Regions from separate parts of the Mus musculus genome. Here all the other regions are reported to be linked to region 1. The links are microRNA targets in miRTarBase. Many come from high-throughput screens and were not tested one by one. Region 1 holds a microRNA gene; each other region holds the end of a gene's coding sequence.

Region 1 (3,083 bases):
CGTGGACCTAGCAGCACCCGAAGCATTGCCCAAGGATACTTGCTGAGAAGGAAGTTTGCCTGAGTGGGTGAGTATATTCTAGTTTTGTAGCTAAAACTTCTTTTGAGACCTTTGGTTTTCACTTTTGTCTTTGAGCTTGTACAACATTCTTGGTCTTTTAAGGTATGAAATAAATACAGTTTGAACTCTTGTCATAAATGAGTGAGCCACATTTTAACGTAGTAAATCTACAGTGGCTTTTGGACACTAACCAAATAGTTGTAGACCCTTCAAGTTGGAGTCATAGAGTATTTCTAATTTGGGGTGATACTAAGACTTTTTTATGTTTTATGACTAATAAACTTGAAAATGACTAAACAATAATCATTAATCTTGTCGAGTATCTGACAATGTGGAGGACAGAAGAAAGGGATTGCTGCCTGGTCAATGTGAGGCTTTCCTCTAAAGGTAGTACCAAGTCAGACTGCCTTCCTGATAACAGGTCTCATTTTGTAGGACCCTTATTGTGTGTTTTTTGGGGAAGCCTACTGTAAAAGCCAACATTTTAATGGGATTGTATCTTATATTTCTTTAAGGAGTTTTTTTTTTTTTTTTAAGGCTTACATGTGTCCAATTTGGAACTTCTGGCTATTGGCTCCTCCCCTCCCCCCCTTGGGTATAAGCTGTAATTGATGTTTGTGACAGAATTTAGAGCTTTGGCTTTTTCCTTTTTGTCTAATTATTTATTTCAAATTTAGCAGGAATAAAGTGAACCTCACCTTGGGACTGAAGCTGTGACCAGTCAGAATAATGTCAAAGTGCTTACAGTGCAGGTAGTGATGTGTGCATCTACTGCAGTGAGGGCACTTGTAGCATTATGCTGACAGCTGCCTCGGTGGGAGCCACAGTGGGCGCTGCCTCGGGCGGCACTGGCTGCGTCCAGTCGTCGGTCAGTCGGTCGCGGGGAGGGCCTGCTGGTGCTGCGTGCTTTTTGTTCTAAGGTGCATCTAGTGCAGATAGTGAAGTAGACTAGCATCTACTGCCCTAAGTGCTCCTTCTGGCATAAGAAGTTATGTCCTCATCCAATCCAAGTCAAGCAAGCATGTAGGGGTCTCTCCATAGTTGTGTTTGCAGCCCTCTGTTAGTTTTGCATAGTTGCACTACAAGAAGAATGTAGTTGTGCAAATCTATGCAAAACTGATGGTGGCCTGCTATTTACTTCAAGTGTTGTTTTTTTTTAAACTAATTTTGTATTTTTATTGTGTCGATGTAGAGCCTGCGTGGTGTGTGTGATGTGACAGCTTCTGTAGCACTAAAGTGCTTATAGTGCAGGTAGTGTGTAGCCATCTACTGCATTACGAGCACTTAAAGTACTGCCAGCTGTAGAACTCCAGCCTCGCCTGGCCATCGCCCAGCCAACTGTCCTGTTATTGAGCACTGGTCTATGGTTAGTTTTGCAGGTTTGCATCCAGCTGTATAATATTCTGCTGTGCAAATCCATGCAAAACTGACTGTGGTGGTGAAAAGTCTGTAGAGAAGTAAGGGAAAATCAAACCCCTTTCTACACAGGTTGGGATTTGTCGCAATGCTGTGTTTCTCTGTATGGTATTGCACTTGTCCCGGCCTGTTGAGTTTGGTGGGGATTGTGACCAGAAGATGTGAAAATGACAATATTGCTGAAGATGCCGATTTCCACTGTAAAAATGTTCACGAGCTGATGGAGTGTATGAACACATTCTGTAAACTGTGATTTCTATTGCTTTCGTTGGTGTGTAAAACGGGATTTTTTTAATTGAAATTTGTGTTTTTAAATTGTGGTTTGTTTTTACTGAATCATTTCATTTTCGTGTTTGCTCGCTGGATTTAGTAAGAAGTTGTGTGTGGGGGCTTAGGTGAAGTTAAACTGCCTTTTGAACCTGGTATGACTTCAGGTTTATTTTACTCTAAAACCCATTAACATGAGTTAAGAAAAATGTTACTTTCTTTGGATCTCTGTTTATTAAAGTGTGACAATTCAGATGGAGTGTTTTCTGATAAGATTATTCCTAATCCGTGAGTTCTTAACAGTTAACAGGTGGTGGCCACTCTGTTAATGTGCACACCCTGTAAGAAAGAACTATCCTTGGACTGTTCTTACCATGTGACCCCCTCAAGGGAAAGATGGCAAACTGATGGTCAGTAGAGTGACAGGTACACATGACACTCGAGTGCTGGGTCTGGAGAAGCTGCAGTTAGTATTTAGGATAACAGTATATATAATATATAGTTCTACATTTGGGCAGCACAGTTGGTTTCAGGCTATGAATAAAAATCATTGGAGTGAAACCTAAAGAAAAGTAAAATTAATAAGGAAGAGCTGCTAAAATCAGGTTTAAGCTGACACTATCTACAGAGCTAAAGTTTTCCATAATATGTTGCTTTTTTTAAAAGAAATGCAAGAAGCTGACTGATGGATCCCTGAGCTGCCAGGTAAGGATTCCACAGGCCTGGGTTTGATTGTGAGTGACCAGAATTGTACAATTATTACTAAAACAGAAACATAGTCACTTCTGACTCCATTCTTAACATTTTTGGATTAAAACTTGTTTCAGATGACTAATGAAAACTTCCTTTAAAACGTGATAAAGCTCTAATGTCAGCACGATCCACATGATCCATGTGCCTCCTATAAAGGGAGGGGTCTGTCACCAGTGTTACGGATTGAATGCTACGTTTATCTTCCAACATAGGAAGCCTGCCAGGTACTTTCTTCAATATACTAAATTAGAAGTTTAAAATTAATAAGGTCTTAATTAGGACCTTTGGATGCTGAGCTTGTGGTAGTAATTGTGTTCAGAATGTTTTGAACTTAAATTGAGATTTAATTTTAGTAAGGAATGTGTGTCTTAGAGGCCTAGTAGTGAAGAGGAGTTTTCCTAGGATTTTCCTCTCTCCTCCCTTAATTAAGCTGCTTTCTGCACTAAGGGCTTCACGCAGCAACGCACTTGTTCAGTTCCGCACAGGGGGCTTTGCTGACTGTCTGCTCTAAAACTCTGTTGGCAAAACAGCTGTGGTCTCTCTTAGACTTTGATTTTGTAGTAACTAGGGCATATAGTTGCTATAAG
Region 2 (3,078 bases), not on the chromosome of region 1:
GAACGAGATTTCTATTTCAGCAAATTGCGAGACATCGAGCTGATCTGCCAGGAACATGAGAGCGAGAACAGCCCCGTCATCTCGGGCATCATTGGCATTCTCTATGCCACGGAGGTGAGCCCTCTCTTCACCTCCCTCCCACTGCTCTGCTGAGACTCGAGAGCAAGCTAGAGCTCCTGAACTGGTGGCCACTCATGCCTTGTTTCTAGGCTGAGTGTGAACCTGATCCTTCCCCTTGGCCAGCTGCCTTACCATCTCTCTCTCCCTCCTCCAGGAGGGATTTGCACCCCCTGAGGATGATGAGATTGAAGAACACCAACAGGAAGACCAGGACGAGTACTGAGGGAGGCGCCAGCCCTGGCTGACCACAGCTTCCCTGCCCACCTCCACTCTGCCCACCCCAACTATGCCCACCCCACATTATAGTCCTTTCCTTTCAGCCAGTCAGCCAGCTGGGTGCTTTGTGTCAGTGCCACAGCATTAGGGAGCCGGACGAGTGGGGTTCAGGGTGGTGGGGGAGGCTTGGGCAGGTGAGAGGACGAGGCCCTGTCTGGGTCCCCCGAGTGGCACTGGCCCAGGGGACGTCCAGGACCCCTGTCCACTCCCCACTCCTATTTATTTCCGTTGTCTCTATGCTGTGTTGGCCAACACTTTCCAGGGTGCCGCTGTACCCCACAAGCCAGCCACCTGCTCCCTGGCAGCCAGCAGCTGTATATTTGACAAAGTCATTGGTATATTTTTACTTACTGGATTGCCCTTGCACTTTACCTGTTCTTTTCCAGGGCTGACAGCAGGGCTTGGGGTAGTCTTTCTGGCTTGGCTCCCCTTCCCTAGAGCCGAGACTGGGACAGGACTCACCCATTCTTATTTATTTTGTCTTTTGACTTCTCTCTCAGTAGATGAGGGAAAGGCTGATATGAGGAAAGGGAAGGGAAGCTGAGGAGGCAGTGCTCTGGGTCCAGGGAGCATGCGAGAGTAGACATGACCTCCAGGCACTGGGCTCCCCCACCAAGCCCCTGCCTCAGCACCAACACCCAGCACTGCCCCAGGCTTCCTAGCCACTCCCTCCTGCAGCCTAGTTAGACCACACAGACTCTGCCTGGCCCCCATTGTCTGTCTGTCCCCCATTCTCTCACCCCCACCTTTGCCCCTTGGGCACCAGCCTGCATATCTGTTCAGTTTTATTTAAATAAATTTGTGTGGCAAGCCATGATTTCCTCAATTGACCCACAGCAAGGGGTCAGAACATAGCACCTTCTCTGTCTTTTGTAAGAGGATAGCCATGCAGCACACCTTCATGAGCAGAAGCCACCACTGACAACCAGGCTCTGACCTAGACTCAACTCCCACGACTGAGGACTCTTTGTGAGGCAGGTAGTATGTGTATTTCTCTGGGAGATGTAAGACTGTCCCTGAAAATGGGATGATACCAACAGCCCAAAAAAGGACTTGTTCAAGTTGGTCTTGGTGAGTAACAAGGGTTTGTTAGGGATGAGTTACAGGCCAGTGGATCACGAAAATACCTCTCTATAAAGACCCCTAGCTAGCTGGTTTATACAGTTCTTTTTGTTTGTTTTGTTTTGTTTTGTTTTGTTTTTCGAGACAGGGTTTCTCTGTGTAGCCTTGGCTGTCCTGGAACTCACTCTGCTGTAGACCAGGCTGGCCTCGAACTCAGAAATTTGCCTGCCTCTGCCTCCCAAGTGCTGGGTGGGATTAAAGGTGTGCCCCACCATGCCCGGCGGTTTATACACTTCTTATGTCTAGGGCAGGACTGATGCAAACCTGGGCTAGTGTTAAAGCACCAGACTCAGGTAGCATAGGCACAGAGAAAACTAAACACTGAGAAAATTGTGTTGATATGTACTGAAGTCCTTGCCCTTGCCAGCACAGAGCCAGTTCCTGCAAATGCTGTCCAGTTGACGTCATGGATGAAGGAGAGGATGGCTTGTCTCCCTGCAGTCTGGGGCACCAAATGGTGGCTTCCTGAAAGACAGTTGTAGGATTTGAAGTGTTCTCACCACAACAGGGAGTCCTCAGGAGGAGAATGAAGTCTAGAGCTGTGGCTGTAAGGAGGGCAGCCCAGAAAGTGGCCATGGGATGACTGGGGAAGGAGGGGCTTCTTGGCCAAGGACTGTTTTGTTGCAGACTCTTTCAGGCTGGCCTGCAGGGTAACCCTCTACTCCTTGTCAGAGCTCCCACACATCACAACAGCTGTTGCAGCACACATGCCTGTGGCCCAGAGAACAGCTGGGTCTACATGGTTCCTCTTTTTCTTTTCCTATTATTTTTGCATACGTGTGTAACACACACGTGTGCATGTGTGAAAACTAGAGCAAGCACTCAGTTTATACTCCAGCCCCCAAGTGGGTTGTTTTAGAGCAAGATTTAACCGGAAGGAGGGTGTTGTTGGCTATTTAAAAACTACTTGTTATTGTGACCTGGCCATCCACCCAATCACTGACCCAGAGTCTTATTAATTTAGCCCAATTATTGGGCGATTACCCTCAACTCTTTTCCTACGCTAGACCGGCTGTTCTTAGCTATACTCCCATAGTACTTGCTGTGTGAGTCTCATCCAGGCTGGTTCTGCTTCATCAGCTGTCCTCGAGGTACACTTCTAGGCCTGCCTTACCCTATCTAATGGTGACCTCTTTAATTTGGGGAGTTTGGTTTATACAACAAAGGCCAGTGTATGTGAGGATGGAGCCAGATCTTGGGGTTCAGCATTTACCAGGCATATATAAACAGCACAAACCCAACAGAGACAGGAGTCAGATACATTCCCTTGTCATCCACACAACTCCACCCTCTTGAAGTGTGTTTGTCAAAGAGACATAATAGCCAAGGCGTGGAAACCCAGCAAAGATCAAGAATGCTGAAGTGGATGTGAACCTGTTGGGATTGTCTAGACCAGTGGTTCTCAGCCTTTCACAGGGGTAACCAAAGACCACTGGAAAATACAGAAATTTACATTAAAATTTATAACAGTAGCAAAATTACAGTTATGAAGTAGCAACGAAAGTAATTTTATGGTTGGGGGTAACTCCAACATAAGAACTGTATTGAAGGGCTGCAGCA
Region 3 (3,083 bases), not on the chromosome of region 1:
CATCACAGTAACTAGCCTGATATTCTCCACCCCAGAGAGGAGAGGAAGGAACTAATTTGGAGCACCGTGCCAAGTGCCAAGTTCTTGCATAATGGCACTGGCTCCTGTGTCTGCAAACACAACAGGGTACAAATGTCCAATGCGTATTTTGTGTTTGTCTTAAAAATTCATCAACTCAACCTGAATTTAGGAATATACTTTAATAAAGCATTTGTGCGACACAGAAGCGACATGTCTGATAAACTCATAGGAGGATTGTCCCTTGAGGGGAGGGACCATCTTGAGAATTCACAGTAATAACAGCTATACTGACTGTTAAAACAAAAATTACTGTTCAATACATGTCTTATCTCCCTACCCTACCCCCGGAGAACGGGAGTGGGGGCTGGAACCACAACTATAAACATGGAACATTAAGGCTAGCTACACACAAATTTTACATTGGCATTTTCTTCAGTTTTCATCTAAACTATTAGTACTTTGTAGTTTAAAAATCAAACCATAATTTGTTAATAATGAACAACTATACATTTCGAAGTGACCATCTGATAACTGGTCATGTAAAACTAATCCCAAGTGGTGATTTGTCTTCAAATTATCAATAATAAAGCACAAAGGTCTTTCCTAGTAAACTCCCTTGAAGACTGGGTGTTAGCCTAATTCAAAATGATGCACATCTCTATAAATTTCCTGTAAAGACCGGCAGCAAATAGGAACACCTTCTGAATTGAGGGTTTTAAATGTTTATGATATTGTTGAATAAAACCTGTATGTCACCCTAGCAAATGTTATGCACAATAAATCCCCACGAGGACATCATCTTCCTGAAAGCCACTGGACAAAGCACACAGGAGAGCAGGCCCTGCCAGTGAGATGGGGCCCACCTTGGCAATCGGCGCTGTTTGTGGTTGTTCTCAGAAAAGCATCCAGTAAGCTCACTTACAATTCCAGATGACTGAGAATGCTTAGCTTTTTGTGGTAGATCCATAAATTGTTTAAAAATTAAAAATGAAACCTGAATGTTATATGTCCAATATACCAGCATCAAAAGATTAGGCTTTATAGACATATTCCCATTGACAGGTGGCACTGCATTTTAAAATGCTAATTCTTTATGGAAGGACAAAGTCTGAGAGTGAAGGTAGGCTTGCTACAGGAGAGAAAGGCTGTTACAAAATGACAGTGTTAACACTGGATCCATGGCAAGACTGTTTTTGTTTTTTAAATATAATGCTGCTTTAAAACAAAGTATTTGCTTATTACTTAGTGAATTTAAGAACGACAAAAAGACAAAATCAAGAAAGGAACAAAACCAGAAAGCATTGCTCTTAATCTTTTGTTTGGCTTTGTATTTAGAGGTGGGGGTGGGCCCTCAGACCTTTCCAACTATGGGTTTAATACTCCATGGAACTCTTTACAGTCTATGAAAGCTTCTAGCACTATCCTTATAATACACCTTTACCATTAAACACTTGAATGACGTACAACCATCCTAATCTTTTAAACTTTAAACATGAAGCTTGGGCTAGGGGAACCAGGCTTCCTCTGAGTATTAAATTCTCTAAAATCTCACAGCATTTCTCCAATGCAACTCTTTCCTATGGCGAAGGCCAACTCAGTCTGCTTCCTTTCAAACAAATAAAACTTGGTTTTATTTGCGGTTTACTGTAAACACCATGCCTTAGGAACAGGGGTTTCCTGGTATATTAACTGAGCCTCAGCTGCAATGTGCTGCCAGCACGGCAGGATGTTCTACTCATCGTCCCTGATGCAGTCGGCCTCATTCCACGGCCTAGGGCCTTGACCTGTCACTACTGGTCCTGTTGGTGATGACATCCCCTTAGATTTCTCATCCGGCATGACACTTTTGGCCACTGTTGACAAAAAGAAAGAGCTGTATGGAAGGGGAGGAGGTCAATAAAAAAATCTTCATTTGTAGTTTATCTTTCTAAGTATAGACATGCCCCTAACAAGCACAAAAACCCCAACTCCCAATGCTGATCACTAGGAATATTAAATTATCAAAATTAAAAATAATTTCCTCATCTAGCACAATATACTATACAATATTACAAACACAGACACATGAAAACAATCAGGCAGTAGAAAATGTACAACAGCTTTGGTGTTACATGTAATAATTTCCAAATACGACTGTCTGTGAGGCACTCCGTCCAGTCCCCTACCACAGGCTCCACTGCCCATTCGGCTCCTGGTAAGGAAGGACTGACCAGCCAAGGACAGGATGCAGTTACCTGGTGAGAACTGCTGGCAACACCATGCACTGTGCTCCAAAAGATGTCACTCAAAGTCTCGCCTATACACTACTGCTCTGTGGCACATTTCCTGTCGAGATCACAGCAGGTCCAAAATAAAGTGACAACTAGATTTAATAAATTAATATACATTTGTTAAAGATGTACAATGCACATTCTGTTTAATCCAAGGTTTTAGGGCATCAAGGAACTCCTATTTACACATGTACAGATCTCAAGACAGCAGTGATGTCGGCAGATGCAGGGAGGAGCAGTAGTGCCGGATGCGCTGCTCTCTGAATGCTGAGGAGACAAGTCAAGTACATTTAACTTAAACAACGCTGAGATCACAGGAGAATCTCCAAGTGAGAAGTCCACAACAAAGGACACGAAAAGGCAAGGAGAAGCTCAAGGAGCTGAGACAAGCACTTTATTCTTGGGACGACACCGGAGGCGGTGTAGACGGGCCTTGCTTGCCGGATTTGCGCTCATAGTTCACCAGGCGCTGCCCCACAAGGTACCTAGAGTACAAAAACAGGGTGGTCACTTTCTTGTGTGACTCACACATATGCCATTCTTCCAGTGACACCTTGTTAACTGTATTCACAGCAGCTTACTAGCAACCTTTCAAGAGGCAGGCTAGAGGGCGTCTAGAGCGAGCACAAAGGCCAGCACGTTGGAGGAGGGTCTGGCATAAGGTGAGGTTTGTGGGAAGGGCCAGAGCTGTGGAGACTGCACATGATGCTCAGTGATGGGGTCTGTATTACACTGGGGAGGTTAGGAGTGCTCGTCACTGTAGTCCAAACATGTGCAGGGGATTTCCTTTCT
Region 4 (3,083 bases), not on the chromosome of region 1:
CCTTCAAACCCTAAACCTCAACATGTTTATTATAGAATATTAGCACACTGCTCAAAATTTTAATATAAGTTATATTGTCATTTTACAGGGCTCATAGTCCAAATAAAATTTCTAAACTTCTTTAGGAAAATTTAAGAAAATACATATGAGGCAAATTCTTATGAGAAATTATAAAAAATAACCCCTTCAAGTCAGACTCAGGTATATTTTTGCTTTGGGGGGGAAGTTGAGACAGGGTCTCACTATGTAGCCCTGTTGGGCCTGGAACTTTATAGACCTGGCTGGTCTTGAATTGAAGAGACCCTTCTGCCAGGCTCCACATCTGCCACACTTTCCCCGCTTTTCTTCTTTTTTGAGGCAGGGTTTCTCTTTGTAGCCCTGGCTGTCCTAGGAAGGACTAAGTAGACCAGGTGGGTTGAACTCGGAGATTCAGCAGGCTCTGCCTCCTGACTGCTGGGATTTCAAGGTGTGCAGCACCACAGCTATCTGTTAAGTCGCTTCTTAAAAAGAAGCAAACTATGTAGTGTGCAGAGATAATCACATACTTCAAAAAGGGGGGAAAAAAAAAGACCTGCACGGTCTCAAGAACTTTTTTTTTATTGTTTAAATAAATAAAATGTTCTATATTACATCTGAAGTATAAAAATGTATTTGAAAAATGTTCCTGGTACAAACTTCTAGAACCATGGCGCCATCCTGCTCTCTCAGTGTAGAGAGACAGGGCTCAAATCTATTTCCATGCTCCACATTTTAAAACCAAGAAAATACTCGCTTTCCCACCCTTCTTCCTTTTTCAGTAAGACACTCGCTAGGAGGTTATGTGTGGTGAACACCACTACTCACACGTGGCAGCACACCCTGAGTAGTGTCTGTTCTCCAACTCTATTATTTTAGGCAGAAAATAACTCTAGGTATCTCAGAAAAGTCTTCTGGGAGCAAAGAAGACAGAACCGTGGCAAAATTCAATACAAAATATTAACATCATGCAGTTTTGTTGCTTTGTGTAAGTAAAGTGCTTTTTAAATTTCTTTTAAATTCATGGCTGTATTTGTAGGCTATTTTCCTCCTATTTTGTGTGTATTAAGCAAAGGTGGAACTGAATGTATATACTTAGCATCCAGAGTGCTGGGTGGGTTTGAGAAACTACCTTATCCTCTTCACTCAGGTCACTACAGGCATAAAATCATATCACATACTATGACAACCAATGAATGTTATTATCAACCTTAGGTGGCATGTGTAAGCTTTAGTTCATATTTTACAGTGTTAAGTTTGTCTCTAATTAAAAACCAAATTGATAGTATTTGACATGTATTATGACAGTATTTCTCATGTATAAACTGTTTTATATTTCAATCATGTGAGTTACTTTTCCATAGGAGACAGGGCAGGACACATATTCTTCTTGTATACATTATTGTTTATTGTTTCAAGTGGTTGGAATATATAATTCCCACTGAGTAGTTTAGTGTGGCCCTGAATCACATATAAACAAGTTAAATGGAGACTTTAATTTATAATCCGTGTATTCATTTTAAAAAGGAACCCAAACACTCCTTTTTGAGTTGGCCCAAGTTAGCTGTTCATCCTTTTCATTTCTACCAACAACTACAGAGAGAGGAGCCTTTCAAACTAAGACATAGATGCTTGAAAAGGGAAAACTGCATGTTGACTCTTGCTGACCAGGAAGGGCCAATGTTAAGAATCAATATCATCCAATATAAAATATGCTGAAATCTTTAAAAATAAACAATATATGCTGACTGAGAGCTGTGGTGGCTTTTAAGTTGCTCAAAAGTCTCAAGCTTTCTGGTTAGAAAAAACCACTGGTGCCACTGAAGATGCTCCACATCTGTGTCACAGCCACTATGGGAAAAAACTTTACAAGAAGGTTCTCACTATTGAGCAAGAGAATCTTACTAAGTAGCAATAGTGGCAAAGAGAGAGTCCAAACTGAAGAGATGTGTGTGCATGAGTTTGAAAAGTGTGACAAATTTAATAAAGACACGGAAAAATCAGAAATTTCTTCTATCTGCCTTGCTACAATCAAACCCAACAGGGAATAAGATGGGTGTTTCAGAGCTAACGCAGGGAACATCAGTTGATAATGCCCATCATTTTACTCTATGCTTAAAATATACAAGTAGAAAAGTGGTGCTTATTAATAGTTTAATGTATGAAGGAGACATCCAGATTTCTGAATATGAAGGTACATATCTCACATGAATTTAAGTCTACATAAAGTAGAGCCTCTAGACTGACACACTGAAATTTACTTTCTGCTTAGCCTTTTCTGTTATGTAAACAATTGTACATTTATTTGCCATTCTAAAACTTCAGGATCAAGTTTACATAATTTTGCTAAATTTCCGTGTTTGCTCAGAAGCAGTTTACAGTACTAAAACCAACCAGCCAAAGAACAGCGTCAACAGAAAGTTATGTCCAAAGGAGAAGAGGGAAAGAAAGAAGAAAAATGATAAGAAAAAATTCTAACTAAGGTAAAAACGGATGATGATGGAGAATTGGCTGTCACAAATGTTCACAGAAAATAGGTCAGTTAGTAAGTTCTTCTGCAAAAAGCCTACACACTTCAGTCAAGCACATCAGTAGAATGATTTGGGAGCATAAAAATGTTTCTCGGCCACTTGTGATTTCCTCTGAATGAAAGGAATCTGCAGGCTACCAGGCTTCTCCTCATCAGCCAAGCTGGTTCATGTGCACACTGTTCATGTGAGGTGCCCAGGGTCCAGTCCATACCTACAAACAGAGCATTCGTGTCACCAAATACAAGTCAGGCAGATACTTAGAATACTAGGACAAACAATGAAACATTTATGGACTAAGACAACATAATCTCATTCAATCGTCAACATATAGCTGGATTTGGCAACACATTTAGTCCTAATAAAGAAAAGGAAATACTCTGGAGTTCAAGGTCATCCTTATCTGTACAGTAGGGACAGCTTGGGTTACTTGAGACCTCTTGTCAAAGAACTCAAACAGAAGAATAAAAGGCGGGGCCTGCAGAGATGGCTCAATTGCTAAGAGCACAGGATGCTCTTGTAGCAGACATAGGCTTGGTC
Region 5 (3,069 bases), not on the chromosome of region 1:
CAGGGATGGGGGATGAGGGTTTTCAGAAAGACCCCTTGAGTTTGATACAGAGGCATCCCCAGGCCCTGCCGAGGAGGCGGCTGCCTAGTTGCAGAAGCACAGACCTGTGGCACTGGCAGTAACAAGATTAGGGTCTGGTTTTTTTGTTATCCTTGTTGAAAAGACTTTTCTCATTTTGAGGATGCTGTCACTAGGAAAGATGGGTTTTGAGGCCAGCCTGATCTACAGAGTAAGTTCCTGGACAGCCAGGGCTATACAGAGAAACCCTGCATAGAAAACAAAATTATTTCCTCACACTGCTATTTTGTGTTTGTTTTTTTTTCTCTCTCTCTCTCTCTTTCTTGTTCCATTTCTTTTCTTTAAGGACAAAAGACTGTGTTGTCAAATGTTCAGGAAGAACTGGATAGAATGACTCGAAAGCCAGACTCCATGGTAACAAACTCTTCAACAGAAAATGAAGCCTGACCCTCCTTTGAAAGTGCATCTGTCAAATGACCAAATAACTATGTATATTCATCTGATAAGACCAGGATTTTTCTGATTCGGCACATGCTGTCAGTTTTTGGGGGTAGGGGAGATGAACTTTAAAACAATACATATACTTCTTTGGCTTGTCCGAGTGTGAGATGCACATTTAGGAGGCTCCATGTCAGGCCCCTTCTTAGGGATGTCCCTTGGACTCTTGGGCTGCGATTCTCTTGTGGGAAGCAAGTGCAGCTGGCCTTGTAGAGTGGAGAAAGGAGGCCCACTTTCTATCAGGGTGGAGCAAAGGAGACTAGGAAGGCATTGTTCAGATGGATGGTTAGTTTGACCAGTTGCGTGTTAGCAAATTCACTTGTTCTTGGGAAGCAGGTTAAGTAGCTGACAGTCCAGGAAAGAGAAAGGTTCCGGAGGGACGAGAGAAGTGCTGGTGGGGAAGCCGAAGGTTGAGGGAGGTGGAGGAAGGAAGCGAGTGAGCGGGCAGGCAGTGTTAGTAAGTACAAGCTCGGTAGAAACCAGATAGCAACAGTTAAGACCTAACAATTAGAAACATTTCCAAACTAAGCACTAAACAGAATGGGAGCTGGGCTTGTTCTAAATGATCTTTAAGTTATGGGAAATGTGTTTTATGTAGGGTGCTGAGTAAGGTGGGCTGACTCAGGGCTGGTGAAGACCACAGCTGCCCCCGGGACCCACATGCTTGACCCAGGCCATGTCCCTTGTCCTTGGAGAGATGTCGGGCTCTATGCAGATGTAACCTGGGGCAGGCAGTCGCTGTGCGTTATGTTCAAAGTCAGCAGATACAAAACTAGATATTTTAAATAGTTCCTGTTTTGTGTTGTTTAATTATTTTTTTAACTACCACAGGCTGGCCAACTAATAGAAAAAGGGTGATTGATTTCTCATTTTGTACCATGTTGGCAATGTTCTAGGGAAAGTGTGGGGGAAGTATTTAATGTCGTTACACTCTGGTTATTTGGCTTGTGCCAGGTCCTGCCTTAGAGCCTGTGGTAACCCTCCCTGATACAGAAAGGTTCTTTCTGTAGCTCCCTGGTCGGATCATTGCTGTCAGACCGACAGGTGGGTGCTTTCCATGGAGAGTGGAAGTGGTAGGCTTGTGCTTTCCATGAAACGTAGCACTTCTTCTCTTAAGGAGGTGCAAGTCTTCTGTGTCTTCCATCAGGGGCATGTTCATGAACACTGTCATGTCACACCACCATGCTGAAGATAACTTCTGTGGATTTGAAATGGCACTTTGAGTTTCTGTGTGACACAGCACATGTAAATGCAAGCACTACCATGACTTTAATGTATAAAATCTTTGTTATCCAAACCAAGGGGAAAACCACAGTTCACTTCCGTGGAGTTTACTCTTTTTTTATATGAATGTTTGTTACTGTGTCTCGGCATAGTGTTCCTAATGTTGTTACATACATGCCAGATTTGACTAACCACTAATGTAGTTGCGTAAGTTAACATCTAGTTACATGACAAGGCTGCTCAACTGTCGAGTGGCTTTGTAAAGGTCTGAACACTGTTAAGGGGAAAGCTGAGTGCTTGCTTGCCTCTCTAACAACAAAAAGATGTGTCTTGTGCCGGTTGTACTATTGAAATATATTTTTTCCTTTTTTAATTCAGTTTTTTTTGTTGTTGTTATTTTGGTTTTGTTTTGTTTTGTTTTTTAAACATGCATTGTGGCTTCAAATGACCAGGTTGTCCAGGCGATGACAGCAAACTGGCTGGAGTGGAAACCATGATGGAGGGTCAACTGATCTCCGTAGCAGCCAGGGCAAAGTGAATGACCTCAGAAACTAGGAATTCTTGCAAAGACACTGCCTAATAGTGTGATTTTGAAACCTTGATACAAAAGTTAAAGTGTATCACTGGAACGGGTAGGCACTTTTTGTGTTGATGTCAAGTGTGCTCTAACCAACTGAGGAAATGCTGAGGTCGGAGTGGGAGGGAGGCTTGGAGACCATTGTGTTATTCCTTTGATACTTGGATGCGCCTAGTTTCAGAAGAAACTGATGCGTGTTGTCATGTGCTCAGTAGTTGCCAAAGTCCACCAGCTTTGCGGAGCTTCAGGGTTTTTTGGGGGTTTGAGGAGATGAGGTAATTTTTATTATTTTAGGAGTTTCAAGCATTGGAACCAAAGGCCAAATAATAAACAGCCTTTACTTTTTAGAGTAAAATTAATTCTATTTGCAAGAATACACTTGCATGGTAGACTATAAAAGACAATTTTATGACTATTTATACACATTATAATGATTACCTCTGTTTGTCTTTAAATGGATAATTTTAAGTAAGCCCAGCCTAAAAATTATAGCCCACATGAGGGCTGTGAATTGGTCTTTCCTAAAAATCCAACATATATGCTGCTAGATTATTTTATTTTATTTGCATTTTTTTTAATAACAGGGAGGGTTTCTTTGTATTGCCCTGGCTGTCCTGGAACTCACTCTGTAGAACAGGCTGGCCTCCAGAGATCTGCCTGCCTCTGCCTCCCAAGTGCTAGGATTGGTGTGTGCTACAGTGCCCGATTGCACCTTTTTTTTCATTTTTACTTTTTTTGTTGTTGTTGGCATT
Region 6 (3,083 bases), not on the chromosome of region 1:
CCTCCACCCCCAGAAGAACACAAAATAAAACACCCCAGGAAAACACACACACACAAAATGAAGACTGATCAACTAGACAAAAAAAGGTTTCTAAACAAAAGCAAAATGAGACAAAAAGTTTACAAAATTACCACGGTCTTTGTGTTGGCCAGTTACTGGTGAGCATGGTGCCTGCCCTGAGGCTCAAGGGTATCAGATAGCATCTTAGTGGGGTTGAGAGCCTTTGTCTATGTTCCCCTCTCAACACTAGGACCCGGTCTGACTTTAACTTGGGCAGGCCTTGTACACGCTGCAGGTCTCTGGGTTCACATGTCTGTCAGTCCAGTTTCTTTGGAGACATCCATCATTCCTGGCTCTTAGAATCTTTTCGTCTCCCTTACAGATCCTTGAGTCATGAGGGGAAGGCTTTGATTTAGGACAGAGTGCTCCAGCGTCTCTCCTCTGCATCGGCCAGATGTAGGTCTATGTCAGTTCCCCTCTACTGCACAAAGAAGCTTCTCTGATGGTGGCCTGGGGTGGCCACTGGAGATCCCTGGGCTAGAAGGGAGGTCTGAGAGGGTCAGGAGGAAAGAGCTCCCAATCTTTTGTTATCTTTTTTAAAAAAATGTGTTTGTGGCTATCTTGTCTGTATGCATATATGTGTACCTCAAGTGCTTGGTAACTGTGGAAGCCAGAAAAGGGCATCAGATCCCCTGGAACTGGAGTTACAGACAGTCGTGGGCTGTCCTGTGGATGCTGGGAACCAAACTTGAGTTCTTTGAACGAACAGCCAGTGCTCTCACAGCTGAGCCACCTCTCTCTCTAGTTGTTGTTGTTTGGTTTTTGTTGTTGTTGTTGTTTTAAATCAGTGAGCTGATAGGACAAGATACATTTGCTATAGGGCAGGTATAGGGCTAACTTTATAGAGGGAAATGTTTGCCGGGCTGAGTTTTATGAAGTATTCAGTGGTGGAGGTGGCAGGACACAACCTTGCCACCTGTGTTGCCTTTTGGACTTTCTGGAACAGAGACATGGGTGATGTGACCCCATCTTTAGGAACCCTGCCTTCCAAAGCTCTGCCCAAGACACTTGGGTCTTACAGCTTGTGGCCACAGCTGCCTAGACACAGCTTCACGACCCTCCTGCCTCTTCCCCTTACTGTTACAGGGGTGTGTGTGTGTGTGTATGTGCACGCGTGTGCATTTAGCCATGCTCAGCTGTTTACACGAGTGCAGATGCTTGTACAGCAGGTGTTTTACCACTGACTCATCTCCTGCTGCACCATCCCTTCAGCCCCACAGACTTAGTTTCTATGTCTGTTGCCATAGCAACAACCATCTTCCCTCTGGCAGCTAGGCAGGCTGCACAAGGACCCTTAGTGGGAGGTCACCGGGAGGCACCAAAAGTACACTCAATGCTTTTTTTTTTGTTTGTTTCAAATGTTTTATTAATCTGTTTGGCCAAACAAGTTATGGAAACTGAGAATAATTGGCTAAAAAGTTCAGGTCATGAGTACCCCTTCCCCCCAGGAAACGAAAGACTCCATGGTTCCAGAATGCACCTTTAGGATATGATACCATTTCAAAATCAGGTTCCCATTTATATGTAACAATGTAAACTTCAAAAATAGTAAACTCTAAGCCCAGTCCCTCTGTACAGATCTATCACAGATAGAAGTCTCCGGCAGACCTAAATTGTGTAAGTAAACAGCCCGGCGCTTAAAAGTTTCTTTAAAAGGCTTACAGACTCAGTAAATAATGTTTCAGTCTTGGTCTGGAAGTGAAAGCCACCAGCCGTCCCTCCCACACAGTGCACCTGCTGTGCATGTCACACACCGCCAACCACCCTCCAAATACACTGGCCACTGGCTTTGTCACGTTTAAACACACATATACACATATAGTTTGTGTTTGTTTTTTTTTTTTAAAGATTTCTACATCTAAATTATAAGACGGCGCCAGTGACATATAATGTCACCTCGCTTCACATAGGACAGAGATGCTGTAGAAGGCACTGAGTTCTCCTCATGGTCTTGTGAGACCAGACCAGCTAGGTCGGAGTTCTGTTTTCTATCATGTGACCCAGCACAGGCCTGTCCTCCGTTTATCTTCATGTCATTATCCTTTTCTGCTTTGCCTCTCTTCCTTTCCTTTCCCATCCACCCATCTGTCCATCAACCGTCTATCCACCTATATGTTTATCTATCCATCGATCGATCCATCCATCCATCCATCCATCCATCCACCCACCCATCCATCCATTTATCCATCTATCCATCTACCCATCCAAATTAACTGACAATTATCTTTTGGTTCATTGAGATTCCTTAAAATTAAGTATACAGTTCTGGTATAAAACAAAATATGACCTACTATAGCTGAAAAATAATCACAGTGCACAATGTCACTTTCAATTGCTAAGAGGCAGAGCCTTTGCCCTGGCTTGTCCAGCTTGCCTGTCCTCTGAAGAGACCGACACAAGGCTCATTTTACCTCGCTTTACATTCATTTAAGAAGCGCTGAGAGGTTCTTTTCTCATCTGTTTTGAATCGGTACCCTTAGTGGAAGGTCTGACGTGGAAAAGTGCAAGCAAATTGGACATGCCAATAAATACCGTAGAACTTACTGCAGTTACCAAAACTGTACATGTATGTACACCTCACCCAACTGAGGTTCCTCCATCAGGAATAGACCTCAAAAACATTACCATGGGTGCATCCCAGAGTTCTAGAGGAGTTTTCTCAGCGAGCGAAGGATGGGCGGGCTCTTCTGCTCCTGCTCTGGGGACCCGTGCCCAAGTCCCCGCTGCTCTCTGCTGTCTCCTCCTTCTTCCTCACTTTGAGGCGGGTGAGCAACTTGATCAACCAGACATCCCACTCTTCTGGAAGGAGCAGGAGGAGGAAGCCCAGGCCGATAATGATGATGGCGATGACCCGGACCCCGTTGAAGACTATCTGACTGGTGTAGTGATCGACCACTGTGGGAGACAGAGCACCGGTTACTCAGTCTGTGGACGTGGAGATACGTCTGAGCATCCGACAGGGCAGGCCAGGGCCACCTGAACCTCTCAACACCTGTCTCCTCTGAGGCCTTGGGCTTGGGTGT
Region 7 (3,083 bases), not on the chromosome of region 1:
TGAGAGAAAAGGTCTCTGCAATCATCTTCAGGGAGATGAGGTAGTGGTGGCCTTCCAGGTGTGGCTTGCTGGAGAGTAAAAGAGAACAGAGACTGGACGTTTGTGTGAAAGCACACGCCAGAAAAAAGTTCCCATAGGAACTATAAAACTCAGCCAAGGGCTGGAGCTGTCCCCTGAAGCAAGGAAGCCATGCCATTCTGTATGCCCTTCCTTCTCTTCAGCCTCAGGAAGGAGCAGTGGCCTTCCCGGGGGGCCTCAGCCTCACCTCACAGGGTGCAACGCTAGAATCTGATTCCTGTTGTAGGGAACCCAGCTCTACCCAACAACAGAGGGAGCTGGCTCAAGTACCCCTACCTGACGCTGTTCCCCAAGATTCCACCCTCAAGCCCCTCTCTCTGCTTTCTCTCTCAGGCACCGCCTAGAACCCTACGATCCCGCTTCAGGAAGAAAAGTACCTCATCCTCGGCCACTGAAACCACGTGAGATGAGCCAACAGCCCCGGATCCACACATGTCTGTCTCCTCTGCCTTAAAGAGCTAGTCACTAGTACCATGGAAGTCCGCAGGCTGGGTGTGCTTCGAGTGTGCAGCCCACGGACATGGCCTTTACTCGCTCCCCTCTTCTGCCTTTAAGACTCTTCTGTTCTTTCCTTTTTGTTCCTGCTGGGGAGAGGCTAAAGGGAAAAGGTGGTGGTGGAGGGTGACCTTTACGTCTTCTGGGGTTAGTGATTTTCCCCAATTGGATTGTCATTGTGGCCGCAGTGTTTTTAGATCTATAAGCACTCTTTCCATGATGCTGCTGAGATGTACATTTGTAATTTGTTTGTTGCATAGTTTTTAGTCCTGTAAATGCAAACGACGTGATCTTTTTTAAAAACCCTTTTGTTGTTCTTGGTACTAATACATTGGACTATGGTGTACATAGTTACAGCTTTTGGCTTAATGTAATGAACTCGCAAGGGCTGCCAGAAGTTCTGGTGAGAGAGCTGCAAAAACAAAAATGTAGACAAATATTTTAATTCTAGGCAATGTCTCCAACTTCCTTACAAAGGCAGTGCCAGTAAGGCATCCCTTCTCCTGCAGGAAGGCGGTGGTGTGCTTCTGGCGGCTGAGTGGTTGGTAGGTCAGAGCGGAGGCAGGAGTGCAGTGTTCCAGCAACAGGAAGAAAGTTGGTGGGCATCAGGGAAGAGGGAGGAAGAGTACGGCTTCTTCAGTTCTGGGTCCCTGGCTGTCCTAATAGGTTTGTTGTGCTGTACCTAATCTCACCCTTCCTGCCCTTTGGGGTCAAGAACAGAAGCTTCCGAGCCCTTTGGGGAGCACTGGCCCTGCTTCAGGCAGGCCAGCTCACCCTTACTTAGCACGGCCATTTAGGGAATGAAGATCAGCTGCTGGCAGAATTGTGAGTATCTCAGAAGGGCTTGGCAAGAGTGTTTCTCCTTCAGGGACCAGCGCTGTGGCCGACTTCTCCAGGAGCCTACATCTGAGCACCTTGTTTTAGAGTACACAAGGCAAAAAGAAAAGTCTAGAACTAGCTTTTGTTACAGATGTGCTCAAAACACATGAGACACTCAAATCTCAAATGGTCGCCAGAAGGCAGGGTCTAGGGAGGACTGAGGCTAAGCCACAGGCAGCTGTGGCTCTTGCTCCTTTCTGGCTTGTGTGGAAGGTGAATGGGAAGGACTGACACTCATGCTCACTCCATGTCTTCGTGGATGTTTTATACAAGCCAGGACTGCAGTGAGAATTTTGACAAGTCTCTGACTTAGATAACATTGCGTTGAGGGAGCTGCCCTCTCCTCTGATAGCTGAGCCAAATTGTAGGGCTAGTCTGTGTGTGCGTAGAGTTGGTGTTTTCGTTCCATGGAATGCATGCAGCAGTCACAACCCAGTTACTCCTATTTGGATTATATTTGTTCACAGCTATGCCCTGAAGGCTAGAGAAATAGTGTTGTATACCACATAGAACTGTCAACTGACTGCAAACAGGCTCAATTACAAACCGCTCTGGTACCGAGCTATGCAAACATGCACTGGGAGACTGCTCCATCAGCTGGGCCTTGGCCATTTCACAAAGGGTTTCAGTTGCGAGTTCATTGCTGCCAGATACACCTAATGGAATTTTCCAAAGGTGATTTTGTATTTCAGAACTAACCCAAGAGCTGATGACTGACGGTAAATAGTCTGCCTGGGCCCCATATCCATCTGAACCCATTAAGCAAAGCATCTGCCCTCTTCAAGCTCACCCCACAGCTCCAGACAAGAGAAGTGACACCCTTCAAACATACCAACGTGTCAGCTGGGTGTAGCCAGGATGAAGAGGAACAGGTGCAGGAAAGCCTGAGAGAAGCAGCTTTGCAGCTCCCCCTCCACCCCCCGAAATAATAAATGGCTTTAGAGACAGAGTTCAAGTCCTAGTGTATTTTCATCGTTTTACAACAGGAAGTCATAACACATCGAGGCTCTTGAGTTTGTACTCAGCCATGCCAAAACCCAGTTTGAAGCACTCCTCAGACATGCTGTATTACTTCTCGCTCAAGATTTAAAATATAAAGGTATCTAAATCGTTGTCTTATTGTAAATGTAACTCCTTTTCCTTCAAGTGTTGACTAAGTTGTTTCCTCTCTTAAAGACACTCACTGTACAGCCAAACACAGCTGTCTTACTTCTTGAGAACTGTGTTTACTTTTCTGACAAGCTGTGTATTTGTATGTAGACTGACATATGATGTGAATGACCTTGTATGTAGAAGTGCGGTGCTCTGTCTACGCAGGATAAATGAATGTTTCTAGTTCGCTGACTTAAGACACAGGCTGTTTACAAATCGCTAGCTCGAAGGTCTACTTGTCGCGGCTTTGAGTTACTCTCCATTTCTGCAGAGGTGAGGTGCAGTCTCCTGCTCATCAACTGGAGATTTAGTCATAATGCCTCCTGAGTTTGTGTGAATAGCTTGCTCACTTTGCTGGCCTTTGATATGTATGTTCTCTGTGGTAAACTGTCCATGTGTTTGTATTAAGTGCTTATCAACCACAACCATCACGTAGCCATCCCAGTTCTTCACCTTGCACAGTATTTGAAGTATTAGAC

The links. The annotated mature microRNA mmu-miR-17-5p reads CAAAGUGCUUACAGUGCAGGUAG and lies in region 1 at 794-816, shown strand. An mRNA with a match to its seed (bases 2 to 7 or 8) in the 3' UTR can be bound and repressed. Matches are read on the target gene's strand: a 7mer-m8 pairs with bases 2 to 8, a 7mer-A1 pairs with bases 2 to 7 and ends in A, and an 8mer does both.
Region 2: the mRNA of Mapre3 is a reported target of mmu-miR-17-5p. Seed matches in the 3' UTR shown: 8mer at 760-767.
Region 3: miRTarBase lists Marchf6 as a target of mmu-miR-17-5p. Seed matches in the 3' UTR shown: 7mer-A1 at 2,373-2,379.
Region 4: the mRNA of Ankrd17 is a reported target of mmu-miR-17-5p. Seed matches in the 3' UTR shown: 8mer at 1,009-1,016.
Region 5: miRTarBase lists Dync1li2 as a target of mmu-miR-17-5p. Seed matches in the 3' UTR shown: 7mer-m8 at 1,731-1,737 and 7mer-m8 at 2,377-2,383.
Region 6: the mRNA of Slc35f3 is a reported target of mmu-miR-17-5p. Seed matches in the 3' UTR shown: 7mer-m8 at 2,559-2,565.
Region 7: miRTarBase lists Reep1 as a target of mmu-miR-17-5p. The part of its 3' UTR that is shown has no 7-base or 8-base seed match.

What each region holds. Positions count from the first base shown.
Region 1 is chr14:115,042,891-115,045,973 of GRCm38, forward strand. Mir17 (microRNA 17) reads left to right here and starts at 781; the gene lies at 781-864. Mir18 (microRNA 18) reads left to right here and starts at 961; the gene lies at 961-1,056. It overlaps Mir19a (microRNA 19a), which reads left to right and starts at 1,110; the gene lies at 1,110-1,191. Mir20a (microRNA 20a) reads left to right here and starts at 1,267; the gene lies at 1,267-1,373. It also overlaps Mir19b-1, Mir17hg and Mir92-1.
Region 2 is chr5:30,864,854-30,867,931 of GRCm38, forward strand. Mapre3 (microtubule-associated protein, RP/EB family, member 3) reads left to right here. Exons shown (of 6, transcript NM_001310516.1): 5 at 1-114; 6 at 275-1,253. The coding sequence ends at 343. Among named protein-coding and RNA genes, the nearest start is that of Tmem214, 3.2 kb to the right of the region's middle.
Region 3 is chr15:31,456,504-31,459,586 of GRCm38, forward strand. It overlaps Marchf6 (membrane associated ring-CH-type finger 6), which reads right to left. Exons shown (of 26, transcript NM_172606.2): 26 at 1-2,776. The coding sequence ends at 2,686. Among named protein-coding and RNA genes, the nearest start is that of Ropn1l, 4.4 kb to the left of the region's middle.
Region 4 is chr5:90,226,585-90,229,667 of GRCm38, forward strand. Ankrd17 (ankyrin repeat domain 17) reads right to left here. Exons shown (of 34, transcript NM_030886.2): 34 at 582-2,757. The coding sequence ends at 2,698. Among named protein-coding and RNA genes, the nearest start is that of Cox18, 4.1 kb to the left of the region's middle.
Region 5 is chr8:104,417,978-104,421,046 of GRCm38, reverse strand. It overlaps Dync1li2 (dynein, cytoplasmic 1 light intermediate chain 2), which reads left to right. Exons shown (of 13, transcript NM_001013380.2): 13 at 365-3,069. The coding sequence ends at 465. Among named protein-coding and RNA genes, the nearest start is that of Dync1li2, 24 kb to the left of the region's middle.
Region 6 is chr8:126,394,304-126,397,386 of GRCm38, reverse strand. It overlaps Slc35f3 (solute carrier family 35, member F3), which reads right to left. Exons shown (of 8, transcript NM_001363500.1): 8 at 1,430-2,955. The coding sequence ends at 2,720. Among named protein-coding and RNA genes, the nearest start is that of Gm51604, 27 kb to the left of the region's middle.
Region 7 is chr6:71,807,380-71,810,462 of GRCm38, forward strand. It overlaps Reep1 (receptor accessory protein 1), which reads left to right. Exons shown (of 7, transcript NM_178608.4): 7 at 412-3,083. The coding sequence ends at 422. Among named protein-coding and RNA genes, the nearest start is that of Mrpl35, 15 kb to the right of the region's middle.